3 linked regions of the Macaca mulatta genome follow. The protein of the gene in region 3 interacts with the protein of the main gene of each other region in a pairwise test. Links are inferred from orthologs where the notes say so. Each region holds a gene or a part of one and is shown on either strand. Other genes may lie near its edges.

Region 1 (3,681 bases), on a different chromosome or scaffold from region 3:
GCATCTTTTACTGTATATTCTGCTTGGTACACTACCTATCTAAAAATACTCAGGATTTTGATTTATTTTTTTATTTTTTTTTTGAGACAGAGTCTTGCTCTATCACCCAGGCTGGAGTGCAGTAGCATGATCATGGCTCACTGCAAACTCTGCCTCCTGGGTTCAAAGGATTCTCCTGTCTCAGCCTGCCGAGTAGCTGGGATTACAGGCGTGCACCACCACGCCCATTTTTGTAGAGACAGGGTTTCACCATGTTGGCCAGGCTGGTCTCGAGCTCCTCACATCAAGTGATCTGCGCGCCTTTGCCTCCCAAAGTGCTGGGATTACAGGCATGAGCCACCACGTGCCAGCAACCGTTTTTTTTTTTGAGACGAATCTCACTCTGTCGCCCAGGCTGGAGTGCAGTGGCGCGATCTCAACTGCAACCTCTGCCTCCCTGGGTAACATTCATTTTTATAGAGAATTAAAACGTTATAAATGAAACATGAGAAAAGGGAGTTTAAAACTTATTTTTCACATATACAGAGGAAAAGGACTGTGCACTCAGTGCTGAGTGATAGTGTACATTTACCTATCTTGCTATTGGGTAGTTTTAATGGGCTTTCCTCTGACATCTGAAACTATTCAGTGGAAATTTAAATGAACTCCAGAGTAAAAGCTTAATGTGGCCACAATCTAGTTTACCAATGTCAAGTTACCAAGAAAGTCTCCAGAATTTAAGCCATTTAAGAAGGTGGTAATGTGGGCGACTTATCAGCGATCCCCTCCACCGCCCCCCGCCTCCCAAGAAAAGCAATGGAAAATCTTCCAGTGACAGGCTTTATAGGCCAACAAAAACCCCTTTATTAGCTGGAATGATAAAAACTCAGTGGTTATCTAATGTTAGCCAGTTGTCTTAACTAACAGTGACAGAAGTCTAATTAATAAAACCTGGGAAAATAAATTCAGTGTAAAGAATGAGTTTGGCATGAAAAATTCCAAAACATGAAGTCCACAGCGGGTAAAGAATACAGGGATGTTTGCTGGGATCATGGCTGGGAACTGATCTACAGAATGTCTGACTACATCAAAATTATATTTACAGGTTCTATTCTTTTAAGGGAAAAAAAAAAAAAAAAAAAGGCCGGGCACGGTGGCTCACACCTGTAATCCCAGTACTTCCAGAGGCTGAGGTGGGCGGATCACTTGAGGTCAGAATTCGAGACCAGCCTGACCAACATGGAGAAACCCCATCTCTACTAAGAATACAAAATTAGCTGGGCGTCGTGGCACAAGCCTGTAATCCCAGCTACTCGGGAGGCTGAGGCAGGAGAATCCCTTGAACCCAGGAGACAAAGGTTGTGGTGAGCCGAGATTGTGCCATTGCACTCCAGCCTGGGCAACAAGAGCAAAACTCCGTGTTAAAAAAAAAAAAAAAAAAAGAAAAGAAAAAAAGAAACGAAAAAAAAAATTGCCCCCTTCCTCACCTTCAACTCTTTTGTGTGGCAGGTATCTTGTTTTCACCTTCCAGTTCCTCCACCCCAGCCTGTGTCATGAGGTCTGCGATGTTCTTCTCCAGATCATCAATGCGACTACTCATATCATCAAGTGGTGAAGTTAAAGACAACGCGTGCCAACATCTCCTCATTGAGCCCTTTCCTTCCGTCCCTGTGGACTACGGCCTTAAACACAACGATTTTAGGGAAACCGGTCTTCCAATTTCCTTTAGACACTGTTACAGGCTGGTGGGTAAGAGTATAGGCCTCTGGGGCATGGCTACTCAGCATCGGTTTCCGGCCCTGACCCTTACTAGTGATGGAACCCCTAAACCTCAATTTATGCATTTGCTAAAGATGGTAACACTACAACCCACTCATAAGGTCATGCTGAGTATCAAAAGAAAGACACACACAAAAGCGCTTAGTTCACAGTCCATGGTCAACCACACCAGCTATTAGGATTGGTAGATGTACGCTCCTTGAGCCAGGGATCTGTCTAGCTCAGCTGTACCCCGAGCTCTCGGCGCAGTCCTTCTTGGAAACACAGTACAATCCAAGCTCAAATTCTGTAAGTGACTGGCTGAAGCTGGCCTGAAAACTACTCATTTATCCCCACCGCTGCCCGGCAAAGAGGCTCCAAAGGCCCACAGGAGGCCCACTACAGATAAAAAGGATATTTCTCCCAATGATCTGGTCAGACATGGTCTGAAATTTATCTTGCATCTGCTGCAGGAGTGTCTGCACCTAAGAAAAACCGAAACAAACAAACACGGTCCACACTGATCCTGAGACACCTTCCTGGGATCAGGACGTGAGCTCTGATCTCGGGTTCCAGCCCCATTTCTGCCTCTGGGCAGCTGTGCCGCCTTCAGCAAGGATCTTCCTTCTCGGGGCTTCCGTTTTCCCACCTGTCTAATTAGACTGGTGGGCTGGGGAGGCCGCTGCGACTCAAAGTTCAGGGTCTTTAGGCTGTTTCTGCCGGGCTGAGGCACCCAGGGGTGTGTAAGGAGTCGAAGGGCGGGGAGGGTGTCAGAGCGAGGCAGGAGGGACCCGGGGGGCGTTCGCGACAGGTGAATGGGGTTACCGGAGGGGGTCGGGCTTAGGAGCGCTCGCGGGTAGACGGGTCCGCACCGAGCGCCCAGGGGGTCAAGGTGGCCGGGAGCCTCGGCCAGAGACGCTTCCAGAAACCGGGCCTCGGCAGACGCCAAGCGCGGGTGCGGTGGGCGCGCCTCTGTCCAGCAGGGCCTGGCCCGGCGCCGCCCGAGAAGGCCGCGGCCTCGGGCCCTCACAGCCGTCCCTTACCACCGAGGTGAGGTCCTGCACGGTCTTGGGGTCAGTCTCGGCCATCTCCCCGACGCCCAGCTTGGCGGTTATGTCTCAGACCGTAACCTACACTTCCGTTTGTCGGCTCAGACGCCCCCGCCCGCTGCTTCTCGCGACGAGACTGGCTGCTCGCGGGACCGCGGGGCATTATGGGAGTAGTAGTTTCTCCCGCACCGGAAGGGCCTCGAGGCCGAGCGCTTCCGTTCCAAGGAGCGGCCCCACCCCACGCTCCCCGCCCTCTTTTGCATAGCCCCTCCCCTCCCCAGCGTGCCGTTGGTGGGGTGGGAAGTGAGACCAACTCAGAAATGGAGCAATAGAGGCAGGGAGTGGCCTTGGCCCCCATTCCAGGCTGTAGTCAGTCGAAAGACGGCTCTGGGTTTCTTTGGCCTGTCAGGACGAACTTACTGAACTTTTGTCCTTCAACAAGACCCACTATACCCTTGTAACTGCCCCCAAGTCAAGGAACATGAGCCCCCCGGAAGCCCCATGGCCCCTGTCCTGTCCTGTCCTGTCCTGTCATCTCCACCCTGAGGGTGGCCAGCGTCCGGAGTTTAACCCTGCAGGTTCATTGTGCCCGTCAGGTTCATATGAGGGGATTCAGACAGGAAGCTGTCCATCATGTCTGGCTTCTTGCACTCCACGCGATGCCTACTGTTGAGTGGGGAAGGCTTCCGGCATCAGGGTTAGACTGTGGGTTTGGGTGTTGAAGGAGGTGGGCACTGCTGAGGTGGAACCTCTAGTTCCAACCCCACAGATGGTCTTTAGGATTGGGTCTCAGGGCAAGGGGATAGGAGAGTCCTTGACTGCGGGCCTGGCAAGGAGATGTGTGAAAGTTCTGGAAACTTTCACACATCTCATTTAAGGACTGCTGTGTGTGAGG
Region 2 (3,748 bases), on a different chromosome or scaffold from region 3:
CCGGACAGGCCTGTCTGCAGGTGTGGGAATAGCAGGGCTTTGAGAACGCAGGGCGTGTAAACAGGTGCTGGCTGTGACGCAGCTTGGGTGTTTACTTCCTTCCCGGCGGGGCCTGCTCCTGAGCCTAGGCCACTCCCATGGTATCTGTGCTCCCACAGGGATTAACAGGGAAGCTGTGGGGTTCTGCAGGGCCAGGTACCCACAGTGGACTCTGGTGTTGCGGCCCTGACCTGCTAGAGAGTTGCTGGGCCTCCAGACCACTGTGTCCCATAGGGCTCAGGGAGGGCAGACCATGGCCCAGAGCAGGAAGGCATGCACAGATGCAGGTGCTGTCTGTGCACAGGATTCATGACATCTCCCTCCAGGAGGCAGATCACCGCCCCCATTTAACAGATACCAGTGGAGACGCAGCGAGGAGAAGTGACATGTTCAAGCTGGTCTGGCTGGATCAGCTGACCCAGAGCCACACCCTGTGTCCCAAAGAAGAGTTAACTTGGCATTGACTCTAGTCCTTGCCCCTGGCTGGGGCTCTGCTAACAGGTCGTTCTTCCAGACACGGCTTCCCCACTGTTTGTTAGGCCCAGATATGGGCATATCCAGGGCCCCTGCCACCTAGGCCTGGGGATAACCAAAGCCCCACTGGGAAGCAGACTCCCCCCTCCCCTGCCTCCACCCACAACCAGCACTGTGCCGCACAGGCTGCCAGACTTAGTGAACAGTCACCCGCTCCACCCACTTACAAGCCCTCACCAGGCAGAATTGGAGATACTGGATCAGCCAGAGAAAGAGAGAGAGAGCGCTCTCCCCATGCCTGTCAACACCAAATTCCTGTCACCCCAGCCTCCGGATGTGACGGTCCACATCTGGCTTCCTAGGAGGCCAGAGAGAAAGGGCATCACAGCCCACCGCAGAGGCCACAGGGCATTGCTGACTTCCTCTATCCCCTGCGCGTGTGTCTTTGTCACCTCCCTGACAGCACCCTGGGAAAGCTTGAGCCCGTCCGCTTGGCAGAGCCCCAGGCTGGGCACAGGCAGATGCTTGGGAATCAGACTCGTCCGGATGGGAAGAGGCAGGAAACAACGAAGCAGGCAGACGGCCATCCTGGTTGTCCAAATGGCTTGGGGCCTCCACAGAGGGCCCTGGCAGGCTGCAGAGGGCCGGGCTAGGATGTGGGCCCCAGGCCAGTCCCCTGAACCAACTCACCCTCCTCAGCCATGTCCTTGTCCAGCACCAGCTTGCCATGCCGGAGGAAGTTCAGGATGGGCCCGAAGTAGGTGGGGTCACGGTCAATGAGGTAGGCCCCGGTCTCATCCTATGGAGGTGAGGGATGCTCCGTGAGCGAAGAGTGAGGCCTCTCCCAGGCCAACCCCACACATGCACAGGGAGGGAAGCGAGTCCAGGGAGAGCTCTTCCCTGGATGGAGCAGGCACAAAGGAGCAAAAAGGCACTGGGGTCAGGTGGACCTGAGTTCAAACCCTGCTTCTGACTTTTCCTGAATGTGTGACCTTAGGCTAATGATTTGGCCTCTTTGAGCCTCACTCCTCTCCTCATCATCAGGGGTCGCTGTGAGCATCTGGTGACAGGAGGTCTGAGTGGCAACTGGGCCAGCACAGGGCTCAGAGAATGTCCCTCTTAGAAGCTGTCCCCTGATGCCAGCCCCACTGTCGCCCCCAGGTCCCCAGGCTTTCAGGGAATGTTTACAAGTTTCCAAAGAAGCCACTATCTCACTGGACATTCAGGCAGGCAGGGAGGCAGAGTGGGCTTCCATGCGACTCTACAGAGAGATGGGAGACATTGAGAGGCGAGGCGACTTGCCAAAGGCCACAGCATCGGAAGGTCACGGATGGGGGACAGGAGACCTTAGAGGTCATCTTCAGACCAGCCCTTCGTGTTACAGATGAGGAAGGAGGCTGAGCGCAGTGCAGGGAAGGGTCCGACCCAAGGTCGCAGCAGGCAGCGTGCAGCAGAGTCAGGGTGGGTGCTCAGAAACAGTGCCCGCTGGGCCAGCGCTCCTTCTAGATTCAGCCCGCTCAAAAGGCGCCCCAGGGCTCCTCCATCCAGCTAGCTCCCTGCACCCCTCCGCCACCCACATCCCAAAGGGCAGGAGAAGTAGCCTCGTCGACTCCTTCCCCAGAGCAGGAGTCCCCTTTGGGAGGGAGGAAAGGCCCCAGGTATCTCCCTGTCCACTGCCCCAAAGGAGAAGGTGAGACCCCGATCCAGGGCGGCTGGAGAGCTTCTAATGGCCGCGACCTGCGGTGTCCCGTTGCCACGGCAATGGGCACATCCCTCACTACCAGACCCACCTCCCCCTTCCCTCCTCCTGCCGCTTCTTCCCGCCTCCAGTTCCTCGGAAATGAACGCAGCCGGGTCCCCAGCCTGGCGGGCGAGCCAGGCCCGACAGCCCTGCGTCGGGCCAGCAGAGGACCCACCGCCCGCTCGCCGCCCACCCCGGGGGCCTCACCCGGTCCGACTGCAGCTCTTCCCCCTGGCACAGGCGGCTGAGGAAGGACTTCTGCTCGCGGCACAACGTCTGCCGGGTGGTCAGGAACACCGTGCCCCCGACGTTGAGCCGCACCCACTTGCCCCAGCCGCCTGCGGCGCGGCCGCCCGCCCCCGCCGGCGGCGCTCCCTCCCCGGCCTCCATCCTCATCGCCGGCCGCGGCGTCTGCATCCTCCTCCCGGGCGCGGGGGGCGGGAGGGAATCACGCGCGGGGCAGGCCGGGAGCTGTAGTCCGCGCCTCCTGGCTCCGCGTGGGCCGCGGGGAGGGTCCCGCCCCGCGCTGCTCCCGCCCCGCGCTGCTCCCGCCCCGCGCTGCTCCCTCCTCGCGCAGCTCCCGCCCCCGGTCCCGCCCCGCTTCGCCCTTCCCTGCAGGCCCGCAGTCTGGGCTAGTGAAGCTAAATCACTGTGTATGGGGAAGGTCGAACTCCCGAACTCTGGGAAAAGAATGAGTGCTTCCCCAAATCGCAGTCTTCCCATTGGTCCGAGCGTTTTTGTTTTTCCTTTGTGCCATCTGCGTCATCCAACTGCTGATAAGGGAAGAAACTTCCCCGACGAGGAATCCCCATAGCATTGACCCGCATGTGTTTCGTCATATTTTTTCATTTGCCCGTTGTGTGTATCGGGGTGGGGGCGGGGTGGGTGGGAGTGGGTTCTTTCCTTCATCTAAGTTCTTGGAGAACGACATAGCTGGACCTGAGGTTGGCTGAGCACCTGTATGCCAGACACTTTGCGTAAGTGTGTTATTCATTTAAGCTCTCAGCAGCCCTGTGAGTCTGGTATTTTGGGATATACCCATTTTACAGATGAAGCCACAGAAGCTAAGTGACCGCTCTACTCACATAGCTGGTGAGTGAGTACCCGCCAAGGCCTCTTTCCTGCTCCCCGACCATGGAATGTCAGGGATCCTTGGGAAGGACTTCTAAGGAGGAAGAGTAGAGCAGGCCCTGGATCCCAGTCAGGAGAACTGAGTTTCCATTCTGGCTTTTGGCTGTTCTCAGTTTTTCCAAGTCCTCCCCAAGCAGGAGGAGGGATTAGTTCTGCGGGTGGCTTTCTGAGTTATTTCCCAGTTAACTTGGAGGGGGACTGTCATTCTGTGGACCTCAGGATGGGGAAAGGGACCCCACCATGTGGTCTGGGACCAGGGAGGGACAGAGGCTGACAAGGAAGCTGTTTCCTTAGCTTCCTCTCCTTACTGGTTTCAGTCCTGGTCCTGGCCTATGTGGGAGAGGCTCCCCTCACTGATCCAAT
Region 3 (3,648 bases):
ATATGGAATCTGGGAGGAGCTTTATATTTACGTTCAGTGCTGTGGGAACAAAATCCAAAAGAAATGAGTGACAGTGTGACTAAGGGCTTTCATGGTCAAAATAAACACCAGCAAGCAGGAATTACCAAACAGTTGAACATTGCCAGCCTCAAAGCCTGGTCATGTAGACACCATGGCAACCTGAATAAATTTGCATTCTAGGAGCCAATGTAGAGATTGCTTTAAGAGAATGCAGTGGGCATCTTTTAAAACATCTCAAATTATTAATTCACTTGGTTGGCAAATGTATATTGAGTACCAACATGTGAAAAGGGAAGAGAGAATATAGGGGAAGGCAAATCAGATTCCAAGTTCAACAAGCCTATTATACATTCTTCAATTGTATTTGAAGAGGTCTGACTGAGGAATGGCAGCAGAGCCAATGCTCTTCTTCACCTCCCCACTGGTTCTGTTACAGCTGTAAAGGTGCCTCCCACTACGGCCTGACCAAAGACAGGAAGAGGCGCTCACAAGATGGCTGTCCAGATGGCTGTGCAAGCCTCACAGCCATGGCTCCCTCCCCAGAGGTTTCTGCAGCTGCCACCATCTCCTTAATGACAGACGAGCCTGGCCTAGACAACCCTGCCTACGTGTCCTCGGCGGAAGACGGGCAGCCAGCAGTCAGCCCAGTGGACTCTGGACGGAGCAACCGAACTAGGGGTGAGTCAAATGGGTGGTTGTCCAGGATTGGGTTCCTTGGCTTGGGATTGCTCTCTGTGGAATACTTACTGTGGAAAGTTCTAGAAATGTTTTTTAAGGGGAAATCATTCTGGCAGTTTTGGCAGGAACCCAATGTCCAATTCTCCAAAGTGAAGTGAAACCACAAGTACCTCCGATCATTAAACTGTGTGTAATCTGACTTGGTGAAAGGGGCTGAAACTAGACCTAATGATTCATCACTCCTGCAGTGTCAGTAATTTTTCAGCCATACTGTTCAAGAAAAGTGCTATTGTATTCAGTTCAGCCCAGAAACAGAAAAGAAAAGCAGAGCACGTCATACATATTTCACTGTAGAAAACTTAGAAAATACAGGTAAGCAAATTCTACAATCCTACCACCTAGAGGTAGTCACTGTTAATGTCTTATTATATATATTTTATCAGATATGTACATAAATGATGATTTCTATTAAATCATAACTACTGTTCCTCTTGTTGCTTTTCCTCAGCACGGCCCTTTGAGAGATCCACTATTAGAAGCAGATCTTTTAAAAAAATAAATAGAGCTTTGAGTGTTCTTCGAAGGACAAAGAGCGGGAGTGCGGTTGCCAACCACGCTGACCAGGGCAGGGAAAATTCTGAAAACACCACTGCCCCTGAAGGTAAATGACCTCCCCACAAGGCAGGATGGACATGGGCTAGGCTTCCAGGGGGACTTCAGGGATGATGCAATCTGATCACCATCCACCTTCTGTGACCCCTCTCTTCCCGAGGGTATACAATGTTTTTTACTTTGATTAGCCTGCTTCTCACATAAGTAGCTAAAGGCAGAAAGTATTATCATCTTTTTACATAGATTGAAGAAAAAGTGTTGAAACCCTTACCTTCAGGTGCTAGTGCCATTATGCATTTGAAGAAGAAGAATTATAGTTAAAGAGTGAAAAACATTTAAAACAATGACTGGCACATACAATAAATGCAATATATATATTTGCTCTCCTTACTCTTTCAACTACATGTGAGGTGTGGTGCTGAGTGTTTTACATGCATTTTGTCATTTAAGCCTCACAACAACCCCATACTCCATGTGTATGTGTGTGTATGTGTGTGTGTGTGTGTTTGTGTGTGTTTCGAGACAGAGTCTTACTCTTATCGCCCAGGCTGGAGTGCAACGGTGCAACCTCTGCCTCCTGGGGTCAAGCGATTCTCCTGCTTCAGCCTCCCAAATAGGTGGGATTACAAGCACCTGCCAAAACAGCCAGCTATTTTTTTGTATTTTTTAGTAGAAACGGAGTTTCTGCATGTTGGTCAGGCTGGTCTTGAACTCCTGACCTCAGGCGATCCACCCACCTCGGCCTCTCGAAGTGCTGGGATTACAGGCATGAGCCACCGCACCTGGTGCTACTACTATTTCTGTTTTATAGATGAGGAAACTGTGGCACAGAGAGGCTCCTTAGGTTGTTCCAAATTACCTTGCTAAACTTTGAATCCAGGTAACATGGCTGTAGAATTCATGCAAAGCAAGCTGTTGAGTCTTAGATCCCATATGTTTTCTCCAGTATAAATGGAGCTGAGGAAATACTGTCCTACTATCTTTGCTTTTTATGTTAGAACTTTAGTAATAATAACATTTTTTAAAAATTGAGCTCTTTCTGTATGCACATAGTGTTTTCAGTCATTTAGCTGTGACAATAATGTTAAGGGGATAGGACTCTCATTCCCATTTTACAGATGGGAAAACGGAGACCCAGAGGGATTAGGTAATTAGTCCAGTCACCCGGCTAGAAAATGGCAGAACCAAGATTTTAACTAAGGTCCTCTCATTCCAGAGCCTACTCTCTTAGCTCCTGGGTTATACTGCCCTCTACTCTTGGGAGTTGGGAGGCAGAGCCTAAACCACTGTATGTATTATGCCCTCAAAATTCATGAGCAGCCTTATCAGACCTTTTCTTGTATACTTATTCATGATTGCCTCTCACCCTGTACATACATGCTGCATGCTCTAAGAGCTCTCAGCTGATTACAGTCCTGTAAATGCTGTATGTCTTTCTCTCGCCTCCCTTCTATTGTCCAGCCTGCATTCCCACTCTCCTTTCAGCTGGCATTGACATTCCTTCTTTCAGGTTTATTGTAAGCCTTTGCCTCCTCCTGGAAACCTCACTGACTCCTTCAGCCCTCTTTTTAGGTGTTTTTGAAGCACCTGTAGCAGTGATTATCATATTTCATGTAACTGTACCTCAAAGTGTAGGGTTTATTATTATTTTTCTGAGTCCTTGTTTTAAGGCCTAGTACAGTGTCTGGCACATAAGTGTCCACTAAATGTCTGTGCAATGACTAAATGAAAAGATTAGAACTTCCTTTCCACCAGTCTCTTCCTCTTATTAAAGACTCCTCAATTCCACTCCATGTAAAGTTCTCTAGTACTTGGGCCAGGCGTGGTGGCTTACTCCTGTAATACCAGCACTTTGGGAGGCTGAGGCAGCCATATCACCTGAGGGTGGGAGTTTGAGACCAGCCTGGACAACATAGTGAAACCCCATCTCTATTAAAAATACAAAAATTAGCCAGGGCGTGGTGATGGGCACCTGTAATTCCAGCTACTTGGGAGGCTGAGGCTGCAGTGAGCTGAGATTGTGTCACTGCACTCCAGCCTGGGTGACTCCATCTCAAAAAAAAAAAAAAAGTTATCTTGAAAAAGATATATTTGCATATTTATTACAAAAACATTTATAAAAGAGATTATTATATGTAAGGCACCGGCCTAGGTGCTGTCATTTTATATAAAGAATATAAAATGTAGTTCCTGGCATCAGGGGGTTTATTCAAGACTAAAATAAAATAAAAGCATACCTCATTTTTATTTTTACAAATTGAAAGCTTGTGGTCACCCTATAGCGAACAAGTCTGTTGGCTCCATTTTTCCGAAAGCATGTGCTCACTTCATGTCTCT

What was found.
Region 1: the proteins of LNX1 (region 3) and HSBP1 interact in binary tests that used the Homo sapiens proteins (3 or more experiments, as listed by UniProt). The link is inferred for Macaca mulatta from reciprocal best matches to the Homo sapiens genes LNX1 and HSBP1.
Region 2: the proteins of LNX1 (region 3) and KCTD17 interact in a two-hybrid assay, tested with the Homo sapiens proteins (2 studies listed by BioGRID and IntAct). The link is inferred for Macaca mulatta from reciprocal best matches to the Homo sapiens genes LNX1 and KCTD17.

The regions. Positions count from the first base shown.
Region 1 is NC_133425.1:79,175,243-79,178,923, reverse strand, and holds the start of HSBP1 (heat shock factor-binding protein 1), read right to left. Parts: upstream 2,912-3,681; 5' UTR 2,826-2,911; coding exon 2,781-2,825; intron 2,223-2,780; coding exon 2,156-2,222; intron 1,588-2,155; coding exon 1,469-1,587; 3' UTR 1,467-1,468; exon of another isoform or gene 1,293-1,466; intron 197-1,292; exon of another isoform or gene 1-196. UniProt on the Homo sapiens protein: Negative regulator of the heat shock response. Negatively affects HSF1 DNA-binding activity. May have a role in the suppression of the activation of the stress response during the aging process.
Region 2 is NC_133415.1:14,498,678-14,502,425, forward strand, and holds the start of KCTD17 (BTB/POZ domain-containing protein KCTD17), read right to left. Parts: upstream 2,676-3,748; 5' UTR 2,672-2,675; coding exon 2,462-2,671; intron 1,313-2,461; coding exon 1,204-1,312; intron 1-1,203. UniProt on the Homo sapiens protein: Substrate-adapter for CUL3-RING ubiquitin ligase complexes which mediates the ubiquitination and subsequent proteasomal degradation of TCHP, a protein involved in ciliogenesis down-regulation.
Region 3 is NC_133410.1:79,996,664-80,000,311, forward strand, and holds part of LNX1 (E3 ubiquitin-protein ligase LNX), read left to right. Parts: intron 1-457; coding exon 458-699; intron 700-1,207; coding exon 1,208-1,360; intron 1,361-3,648.